3 linked regions of the Elephas maximus indicus genome follow. The protein of the gene in region 2 interacts with the protein of the main gene of each other region in a pairwise test. Links are inferred from orthologs where the notes say so. Each region holds a gene or a part of one and is shown on either strand. Other genes may lie near its edges.

The links.
Region 1: the proteins of GABARAPL1 (region 2) and TAX1BP1 interact in binary tests that used the Homo sapiens proteins (3 or more experiments, as listed by UniProt). The link is inferred for Elephas maximus indicus from reciprocal best matches to the Homo sapiens genes GABARAPL1 and TAX1BP1.
Region 3: the proteins of GABARAPL1 (region 2) and SCYL3 interact in binary tests that used the Homo sapiens proteins (3 or more experiments, as listed by UniProt). The two-hybrid records come from large-scale screens. The link is inferred for Elephas maximus indicus from reciprocal best matches to the Homo sapiens genes GABARAPL1 and SCYL3.

The regions. Positions count from the first base shown.
Region 1 is NC_064826.1:88,877,529-88,881,275, reverse strand, and holds the start of TAX1BP1 (tax1-binding protein 1), read right to left. Parts: upstream 2,376-3,747; 5' UTR 2,269-2,375; intron 1-2,268.
Region 2 is NC_064822.1:67,460,022-67,463,768, reverse strand, and holds the start of GABARAPL1 (gamma-aminobutyric acid receptor-associated protein-like 1), read right to left. Parts: upstream 2,220-3,747; 5' UTR 1,932-2,219; coding exon 1,842-1,931; intron 1-1,841. UniProt on the Homo sapiens protein: Ubiquitin-like modifier that increases cell-surface expression of kappa-type opioid receptor through facilitating anterograde intracellular trafficking of the receptor. Involved in formation of autophagosomal vacuoles.
Region 3 is NC_064821.1:214,082,572-214,086,318, reverse strand, and holds the start of SCYL3 (protein-associating with the carboxyl-terminal domain of ezrin), read right to left. Parts: upstream 2,864-3,747; 5' UTR 2,630-2,863; intron 1-2,629. UniProt on the Homo sapiens protein: May play a role in regulating cell adhesion/migration complexes in migrating cells.

The sequences.
Region 1 (3,747 bases), on a different chromosome or scaffold from region 2:
AGGTTATCTTTACTCCCTCCTCTTGCAACTTTTTCAAGCCTCAAATAAATCTGGCTTTTGCGGTATCTTTCAATGGCTCCTGGTATTCATTTTACTTGACTAATCCAAAAATATGAACCTTAGTCAACTGAAGTAGAAAAAAGACCCACTGAGTACTTCTGTGGAGAAAACATACAGAACTGAACTAAGCTTTTTAATTTAGATAATAATCTACCAGCTCTAACAGAATTCAGAAGGAAATAAGGTAACTTTGTTAAGGGTAATAATGTGATTATGGTGGTGTTTTTTAAAGTATCAGAAATGCTAAACTAATTATAAGTGAAATACTGATGTCTTAAATTTGCTTTAAAAATTACAGTGGGATAAATAACTGTGTTAGAAGAGAACAAAGATAATAAACCAAGATTAGCAAAATATTGCTTCATTTTACCATCTCTACAAGCGTTACTAAAAGCAAATAAATAAAGCAGATTAGTACTAAAAACTCCATGTATGATGTACTACCATAGAAACAGTGCATTCTAGACCACGAATGTTTTGTGTGCTCTGAGTGTCGTAATTCAGATAACCACCAACAAAGTTAGTGTAAGTTTAAAAAATCTTGGATTAAAAAAAATACGAACCCTTGGAGTCCTTGGGTGGCACAAATAGCTAAGCAATGGGACTACTAGCCAAAAGGTTGGTGGTTTGAACCCATCCAGAGGCACCTGGGAAGACAGGCCTGGCGATCTGCTTCAAAAAGTCACACCCTTGAAAATCTATTGAGCATTTCTCTACATACACGGGGTCGTCATGTGTCAGAATCGACCAGATGGCAACTAACAACAACAACAAAATTATGAACTCTTAAAATTACCTCCAAATTCAGTCCTTATGGGGCATACAAACATCTGAAGGATAAAAAAAATTTTTTGACGTTTTGAAAGTTTCTGATTATTCATGCTTTAGCTCAAAGACTATCAACTGGTTTACAGACCTCTAAACGACAACAAAAAAACCTAAACCCGCTGCCTCGCGTAATTCCGACTCATAGCAACCCCAATTCTACACAAATTGCGGCAGCCATAGTTGTAAACAGTGTAAGAATGTGATGACTAGAAAATTAAAACTACAACAGAATGTTCTTTGAAGTCTGACGATCACATTGCCAAAAAAAAAAAAAAGTAAGTCATTTCTAGAGTAAAAAAAAAAAAATCCTTCAAGGAATCAAATCCACCCCAAGAACAGAACGATAAAGTCTGGCCTCAGCTCTTTATACCGAAAAACCACTTTGAAGGCAATGAGCCCTCTTTTACAACCGCAAGGTGTAATACTTTATTTACCAATAAAGTGACACAAAACGCCGCCAACACCACCGCCCCCCTACCTCCAGTCCACTCCCCCACCCCTCCTCCACCCCACCCCCAGATAAGCTCTGTAAGCTCTAATCCTAGGCCAGGGAAACTCCTGAGAGAGACTGCAAGAGCTCCTGTCTGGACACGTTCACTACCTGCGGGGGGAGGCGGAGGAAGGAGGGGTGAAATCAAGAAACTTTTGACTAAGCCAAGAAAAACGTGACTCTTCTCGGAAAATTAAAAAAATTAAAAAATCCCTGTGAGTACTAAGGGGAGGGGCTATTTCTAAACACCTCACAAAAATCAGTTTCTTGATTCTGCAGCCCAGGTAAATAAACAAGGTCGTACCTGAGCGGCTAACTCCGCCGGCGGCCCTAAAATGTGGGCGGCGCAAGGAGTCTCCGCCTCCTCACCCACCCGGCGACTCGACCCAAACAGCTCGCTTTTCCTCCGCAGAGGCGAGGCCGAGCCTCCTTTCCGGGCTCCACCTAGATGTCTTCCCCAGCTTGCCGTCGCCAGGAGCGCACACGCTGCCCTCACAACAGTCACCCTAGCGTTCTGACAAGATTTTTTTTCCTCCTCCGGGCTGAGTCACACGCGTCGCTCGCCCCCCGCCCAAGGGTCCACGTCCCACACGCCTCCGCAAAATCTCTAAGGCCTGTTCCGTGTGGAGCGGCCACTTATGGCTTTTCCAGCTCCACAGCTAACCGAAACTGCTCCACTTCCCGTCACAATAGCAGTCCGGCAGGAATGGTTTCTCCTCGGGAAGAAAAGCATAGTCATTTGCCAGCATCGTCACCACGGAGAATATTCCCCGGACCGGCCAGGGCCCTAGACTCCGGGGACTGAGGGACGTATCACGGTCCCCAAGAAGAGCTCCCACTGGGGCCCGCCCCGCCAAGGGCGCTGGAGCAGACCTGGGAAGGCGCCTTACCCAGTGAGGGGCTCCCGGCCAACGGGGGAGCGTCAGAAAGGCTTCCGATCCCGAGACGCCATCAACTGCCGAACTCCTTCCGAGACCTCCCCTCAGGGCCGGGAGCCAGCGTCGCGTCACTTCCGCCCATAGGGCTGTCCCTTCCGCCGCCGCCGCCGCTTGGGGCTCCGCGACTCCCCACCTGCCCCAAAGTAGGCGATTCAAAGCCTGCGGCCCAGGTAACTGCGCGCATTTCTCCGGCCCGCTGCTTTTTCCCCTTTCTTTCTACCTGGCAATTTTCACTCAGACACCTAGTTCCAGCAAAACAGGCCCTGTTCGTTTGGATTTGTTTTTTTTTTTTTTAATTGTTATTTTGACCTACAAAATGGGGAAACACACGGAAAAGTTAAGTAACTTAACCAGTGCGATAAAAGGTAGCGAAGTGATGGGAGGATAGAGAGAGTTGGAAGCTGGCAGAATTGTCACGAAAGGAGAGACTGGAAGGACTGACTCATTAGGGGGAGAGCAAGTGGGAGTACGGAGTAAGGTGTATATAAACTTATATGTGACAGTCTGACTTGATTTGTAAACGTTCACTTGAAGCTCAATAAAAGTTAAAAAAAAAAAAAAAAAGGTAGCGAAGTAGCACATGGACAATTACCATGCCACTGCCTGGATCTTAAAAATCTGTCTAAACTAATCCACTCATCTTATAGATAAGGAAATAGAACCAAAGGAAGGAGCCCTGGTGGCGCAGTGGTTAAGCGCTTGACTGCTAACCGAAAGGTCAGTGGTTCCAACCCACCAGCCGCTCCACAGGAGAAAAAAGACCTGGCCATCTGCTCCCGTAAAGATTTACAGCCTCATAAACCCTATGGGCAGTTCTGCTCTGTCGCATAGGATTGACTATGAGTAGGAATTGACTCCGCCGCAATGGATTTGGATTTTGTATGAGTTGGAATGGACTAGCTGCACACAGCAGAAGCGAAGGGAGCGACCACAAGGATAGGGCTACAACTTCTAAAATCCAACGCTCTCTCCTAACTCCTAGTCAGTCTTGTCCCTTTTTAACTACGATCACTGTAAATCCTCAGTTTCTCTGAGAAGCTCTTCTGTTCTAATAATGTTCTGTGATTCTATTTGGTCTCACTCCAGAACTGGTTTCTTCACAATCGCATTTCTGTGAATTGTTACCTGTATTATTTTAAGGTTGGGGTTGTTACTTTGCGGGTGCGAATGTTGCCCTTCGTTTTCTGTTGAATTGCAATTTCATTTATCACTTTTGACTATTATATATGTTCCCTTACTATAATAGCCTATAAAAACTATACTATAAAAACCCCGGTGGCATAGTGGTTTAGAGCTATGACTGCTAACCAAAAGGTCGGCAGTTCAAATCCACCAGGCGCTCCTTGGAAACCTTGTGGGGCAGTTCTACTCTGTCCTGTAGGGTCACTATGAGTCGGAATTGACTCGATGGCACCGGGTTTGGTTTTTTTG
Region 2 (3,747 bases):
GATTTAGGAACAGGTAAATTTCAGTTTGTCATTTATGTGAAGCTACTGTTGTACACAGGGGTCACTATGAGTGGGAATCGACTCGACGGCACCTAACAACAACTGGCACAGTTCCTTGTACTTTGCAAGTCCTGAATAAATTGTAGTCATTTTGCTTACTGAGTTACTTTTCCGGTGAACTGTTGAGGGCAGCAATAGTTTATCTATTTCCAATACCTAACAGTGAGAGGCACTTAATTAGTTCTGGTAACAGAGCTACATTAGAAATTGAGCAGCAATGTGGCATGGAGGTTAGGCATGCCCATAGCGCTATGCATGAGAGGTGAAGCTGAAATCTCAGCTTGGTCACAGACCACCAATATGACGTTACTTCATGTCTCTGTGCTTCAGATTCTTCATCTATAGACTGGGGATTATAATAGCGTGAGGGTTAATGGGATGCCTATATAGAGGACACTTATAATAGCACCAGATACAGGGTAAGTTACTGGTAAATATTAGCTCTCATTTTTAAATACTATTACTGAAAACTGGGATTGGTGCCACGAGAATTGGGGGACGATTTTAAAACAATCATCCAAGGTCCAGAGACCACGAAAATAAACTGTGAAGAATTCTTTACTGGGTAATAAGGCTGGCTCCCCTTTCCAGCTAAAAAACCCTTTTGTGTGTAATTGCTGGGGAATAGGATGGCTCTGATGTCTCCTCTTTATAGGAAAGGACCACGAGGGCTTTGTACTGCTGGGCTAAGCCCCAAGTTGCCTCTGGTAGCTGTTTAGAGGAGGCCCAGGAACACCTGCAGGTCAAGAAAGGACATCAGATAATTGCAATGTCTTTACCCGTTACATTTACAATTCCTTTACCAGTTACATCATCCAAATGCCCATATCTGAAGATAAAGAGCACAACCCTACGGTCACTGCTCTTCTATCTCTAACACCCCAAAACTGCTGCTCCCTCTACCACAGGCTTCTGTCTTTCATTCTGGCTGCGCAGCCTACATTAGAGGGAAACCAGGCAAGTGCGCGGGGGAGGGGACAAACTGGAAAAACGCCCGGATGCTGAAAGATGCCTTGCTATTTATTTCATCTTTTCCTTCTGCACTAGTTTTAACTACATAAATCAGGGGCTAAAACAGAAAGAGGTCTCAGTCTGTCTCGTGCCCAGGTATGATTTGATCAGATTAAGCACCCAGGAAAGCTGGCCGTCACTACACACTGCCCCTGGAGCCAAGAATGATGAAGCAAGCCGGTTGCTGCGCAGAGAACGTGACCTTGTTTTTGAGCCAGACCTGTCTTGTGGTGCCCCCCACCCCCTACCCCAATCTTAACAGAATACGAGAATGAATCCACTGGCTTCCCATCTTTTCCCTCCCAAGCCCAAGGATAACCAGGTCAGAGTGAAATTGATGAAAGGAGAACCACCTATAGCAGAAATCGACAGGCGCAAACCCCAGGGCATCAGTCGCTCCCATAGTAATTTCCGTGCGTTCTTAAACGAAGCAAACCTAGAGCCCCAAACTAATGACTCTCGCACAAAAAGGCCACATCTTCTGAAAACTGCTGAGTCACTCGAGACATTGGCTTCGCTCTAAAGATGCGGTCAGCTATGAAGATGGGAACAGGCCCTCGGGATACGGGTTTGGAAAGCTCCGCAGTCTGAAAAGTCCACTAGCTCCGGCAGCTAGCGAAGGACATCCGGGGTCAAGGAATTTTTAGAGACCTCCCTTTTTCGGAGACCCTTCTGTTCCTTAGGGCAGCCATCGCGACTCCCCAACCCCCAGCTCTCCAACCCTCCCCCCACTTTCTCCCCTACCCTCCACCCGTTCCCATTACACTTACAGGGACCCTGTCCGGATATTTCTTCCGGATCTTTTCTCCTTCCTTTTTCCGATATTCAAAGGGATGGTCCTCTTTATACTGGAACTTCATGATGGACCGCAGGGTTTCTAAAATCCCCAGACGGGGCCTGCCTTCCTCGCTGATGATTGCGTCTCTCGCGTATTGCTCCTCTCCGTCAAATTTCAATAGGTTTCAGGATCGCTTCAGAAGTGCCAGCTCCCGCCACAACACTATTGGCAGAGCGTTCGGAAGGGATCTCTGGTCGCCTCGCCTGGCAGTAGAAGATGGCCAGGTAAAGAGATCCAGACGGCTTTTCCCAGGAGCTGGGGACACAAAAACAACACAGCAGCGCGTTGGTATTGTGACGCCACAAACCCCGCCCCGTGTCCCGCCCCCAGCGTTCGGAACAGCGCAGGATGGGGGTAGACAAGTACGTTGTCTGTTTCATTGTATCTTCTTTCTAGCTAAACCTTTCCTAAGTAGATCCCACTGCAACCATGACGTATTTACGTGTTATTTGAATGTTCATGTGACATTAACTATCGTTCTAAAACGAAATAAAATTGTTCTGAAAATGTCTTCTTCCCTCCCTGCTGTTTCTTGGTTGAGTCCAAAAATAAATACAAAGAACTAAAATCCAGCTTTTTCCAGCTTATTGGGATCCGGGATCTGGAGAAAAAAAGGAATGGGGGACCTAGGGTCTGTTTTTGGCCAGTGCAGAAATGTCCTGTGCTTGCATTTTGCCCTTTGCCTATTTAATTGCACCCACTGGGCACCTCCCACCAGGCACTCTCCTTCCCCACGCTCGCGTCAGTTTTGTTTGGATCCATGCCACAGTTTGCTCCTAGCACAGCAACATAAACAGAGCATGACTCAGGAATTTGAAGAGACCTGTAATATGAAGGGCACGGAGGGTAATCAGGGTCCAGAGAAGAGGTGATGTCAGTGATGACTGCTAAGGGCTTCAGGCGCGTTCACAGATAGGGATCACTGGCTTTCTCCTACTGACCCAGAAGTTGGGCCTGTCTTCTGGAAAACAATTCACCTGAATATGGAAGTGTTCTTGTGTGCCATCCAGTGGATTCCAACTCATAGCGACCCTGTGGGAAAAGTGGAACTGCCGCATAGGGTTTCCTAGCCTGTAATCTTTAAAGAATCAAAGTAAACAGAAATCCTTGACAACTTCAATATTTTCCCTGTTTATCCTGAATAATATTTATTGATCCAGTTGTGAGGATTTTTGTTTTCTTTATGTTGAGTTGTAATCCATACTGAAGGCTGTAGACTTTGACCTTCATCAATAAGTGCTTCAAGTCCTCTTCGCTTTCAGCAAGCAAGGTTGTGTCATCTGTATATCAAAGATTGTTAATGAGCCTTCCTCCAATCCTGATGCTGCATTCTTCTTTATATAGTCCAACATCTTAGATTATTTGCTCAGCATACAGATTGTGAAAGGATACAACCCAGACACACACCTTTCCTGATTTTAAACCACGCATTATTCTCTTGTTCCAACTGCTTCGTGGTCTATGTACAGGTTCTGCATGAGCACAATTTAGTGTTCCAGAATTCCTATTCTTCACAATGCTATTCATAATCTGCTATGATCTACACAGTTGAATGCCTTTGCTTAGTCAATAAAACACAGGTAAACATCCTTCTGGTGTTGTGTGCTTTCAGCCGAGATCCATCTAATGTCCCTCATTCCACGTTCTCATCTGAATCCAGCTTGAATTTCTGGCAGTTCCCTGGTGCAACATCTTTGAATAATCTTTTGCAAAATTTTACTTGCATATGATATTAATGATATTGTTCTATAAGTTCTGCATTCTGTTGAATCACCGTTCTTTGGAACTGCAAAATATAGATCTCTTCTAGTCAGTTGGCATAGACAAGTGAGCACTTC
Region 3 (3,747 bases), on a different chromosome or scaffold from region 2:
AGGCTTATATTCTATGTCCAGCGTAAACTCTGCCTTTTATTAGGAACAAATAAAAAGATTGTTGATGATTAAAATTTGAGAACATCTTAAAAGCATTAATTCCTAATTCTGTATTTCACACACTCTGTATCTAAAGAGGCACAAATACTGTTAACATAAACACTGCTTCAAAAATGGTAATTCAGCTAAAATGAATTACTGAAACATAAAACTAATAAATTAGCACTTGGACTTGCAAAATGCTCTCTTGTTGCTTGGAGGAGTAAGGGAAAAAATACAAAATCTTGCTTGGTAGCTTTGGAATAAAATTCACAGGAAAGTAGAAAAATATATTCCAATGCCAGGGCATGCACAGATAGATAGAGATAGGTAAACAGATATATAAAATGCTTAGTCGGCAGTCTCTGACTTGAATATGCATCAGTCTTCTCTATGAAATGTGTTCACCTAGTTTCCTCCATCCTTCCTTGGGCAGCACAGTTTCCAGACCACCTGTGCATTTGGAAAGCCCACGTCTAGGTCGCAGTGCAACTCCTATGTTCAACTAAGAAACCTCTGGGTATCTCTGCTCTTTTCCCAGCAGTTAACTGTGATTATCTCGATCCTAGCTGGCATAGCCAGGGAACTCCAAAAATACTGGCTTGCATTCCAGACTCTAAGATCACCCTGCACTGAGTGATGCTTTGTTAGCCAGTGAGCCCTCTGGTTTCATCCGTTTCATACTCCCTGTATTTAACTCAGTGCAGCCTTGCTAGGTGCAAACAATACATAACGAAGCCTTTAAGGATCAAAACAAGTGTGCTAGCTAAGAGACAGGATTTTACGTGGATATGCACACCGGCAACAGTAATAACGATTCCAAAATCGCTCAGGACGGGACTGTGAGTATTCACGTGATTTCCTCTTCCGAGAAATGTATTTCATCTTTATTCCAAATAGAAAGCTTAAAGCAGTCAAGAGCCAGCTGGGCCTCTAGGGACCTGGCCCTGGTCTTGGACCAAGAATGAAGCGGCCCAAGCCCCCAAGGCTCCTCCGGCGATGCCCCTTCCGGGGAGTGTCCAGCCCACCGAGCAAACTCCCGGACCGCCCGCCCGCCCGCCCGGAGCGGAGCCCGAGGGTCCAGCCGCGACCCCGAGGCCGCTGGGGGTGGGGGGCGCACTCGCTTGGCTGGCCCCTCACCTTCCACACCTCCCCGCGAGGCCCGATCCCGCGGCTTCGCCGCCAGCTCCGGCCACCAGTGCCGCTCGGCGGGGGCCCACGAAGCCCTGATGAGGAGAAGCCCCGCACTGAGTGCCGGGAGGACGGCCGAGCTCAACCTGCGGGGACCGCACCGAGGGGAGGGTGCCGGGGGCATAAGCTGGAGCCACACTGAGGGGAGGGTGCCAGGGACCGAAGCCGGAGCCACTCTGAGGGGAGGGTGCCGGGGACCGACGGCCGAGCTCAACCTGCGGGGGCCGCACCGAGGGGAGGGTGCCGGGGACCGAAGCCGGAGCCACACTGAGGGGAGGGTGCCGGGGACCGACGGCCGAGCTCAACCTGCCGGGGCCGCTCTGAGGGGAGGGTGCCGGGGACCGAAGCCGGAGCCACTCTGAGGGGAGGGTGCCGGGGACCGAAGCCGGAGCCACTCTGAGGGGAGGGTGCCAGGGACCAATTGCCGAGCTCAACCTGCGGGAGCCACACTGAGGGGAGGGTGCCGGGGACCGACGGCCGAGCTCAACCTGCGGGGGCCGCACCGAGGGGAGGGTGCCGGGGACCGAAGCTGGAGCCACACTGAGGGGAGGGTGCCGGGGACCGAAGCCGGAGCCACTCTGAGGGGAGGGTGCCGGGGACCGACTGCCGAGCTCAACCTGCCGGGGCCGCTCTGAGGGGAGGGTGCCGGGGACCGAAGCTGGAGCCACACTGAGGGGAGGGTGCCGGGGACGGACTGCCGAGCTCAACCTGCGGGGGCCGCTCTGAGGGGAGGGTGCTGGGGACCGAAGCTGGAGCCACACTGAGGGGAGGGTGCCGGGGACCGACGGCCGAGCTCAACCTGCCGGGGCCGCTCTGAGGGGAGGGTGCCGGGGACCGAAGCTGGAGCCACACTGAGGGGAGGGTGCCGGGGACCTAAGCCGGAGCCACTCTGAGGGGAGGGTGCCGGCGACCGACGGCAGAGCTCAACCTGCGGGGGCCGCTCTGAGGGGAGCGTGCCAGGGACGACCGCCGAGCTCAACCTGCGGGGACCGCACCGAGGGGAGGGTGCCGGGGGCATAAGCCGGAGCCACTCTGAGGCGAGGGTGCCGGGGACCGACGGCCGAGCTCAACCTCCGGGGGCCGAAGCCGGAGCTCAACCTGTCGCGGCCGCACTAAGGGGAGGGTGCCGGGGACCGAAGCCGGAGCCGCACTGAGGGGAGAGTGCCGGGGACCGCAGCCCAGCTCAACTGGCGGGGGCCGCACTGAGGGGACGGTGCGGAGGACAGACCGCCGAGCTCAACTGGCGGGGCCCGCACTAAGGAGAGGGTGCGGGGAACGGACTGCCGAGCTCAACCGGCGGGGGCCCGCGAGTCGGGCGCGCCCCCGCCTCCTCTCCCGCCCCGGCCCCCAGCCCCGGCCCAGGCCTGACCGTCGGAGGCCGCAGCGGAAGCCCCGTTACCTGCGGGGGGCGGCGGAGGGCAGCGGCTCCGGTCCCCTTTTCGCCCCCAGTTAACACCGAACACCTCGCCTCCCCCGTGAGGTAGGTCTCCTACACACACAGTCTTCCGGATTCTCGGCTCTCCGACACCATAGAGTTGGGCCGGAAATGGGACAGAGTGCTAGCCTTCGCCTTTCCGACACCAACACTGAGGCAAATGAGCCCAGATTCTGGCTAGAGCGGCCACACAGGTGATTCTCAGGAGGGTGCCATCTTGAGTGTGGGCACCGGCCTCGAGCCCATTTTATTCACTGCTCCTAGCAGCCGAGTTGGCCTGCGCAGGTGTTCCTTCCCTAAGCATTCCAGTTGAAGACATAAGTTTTGTTTTGATTTTGCTTTTTAGGTCTTTAGCCTCTCAGCTTTAATTTTATTTCCGCCCGAATCGAAAATGGCCAACCATCGCCCTAGCAAATAGGGGCCGAGACGCAAAAAGGAGTCCAATCTGAAAACTGGCGGCGTTGTGCAGTCCCGCAGCCCTGATTGGCTCCGCAGCGTCGGTCAAAGTCCTGGGAAAGACGGCTGAAACTGGCTGAGTCCCGCTTAAGCGTTTGGGACGGAGAGTCTGAAAATTACACTTAATTCAGCAAAGAAGTAAAATTGAGAATATTAATAGTACCTGTTGCTAATATTAATAGTGACTGTTTCACTGGGTGAGAAATACGTAATGGGTCTAAAACTATACTATATATGGCACATAAAAACCAAATCCGTTGCCCTGGAGTTAATTTCGAGTCACAACGACCCTAAAGGACAGATTAGAACTGCCCCATAGCATTTCCAAGGAGTGCCCGGTGTATTCCAACTGCGGATTTTGGCTTAGCAGCCAAGCGCTTAACCACTGTGCAACCAGGGCTCCATGGCACGTAAGAACTCTATGTATGTTTCTTGTCATGGTCATGATCTTAGTAGTAATCTTTTTTTTACTGCTCCCTTACCGTTGAAAACTGACGTAAATCGTTTGGCCATGTGCAACTTTTTGGTCCTTTCCAGTCTGTGACAGTAGCAGAAAAAGTTTAAGAGAGATAGGACTCCACAATTTTGTCACCAGGATAAATGGAAGCAAGAATCGGGCCAAATTT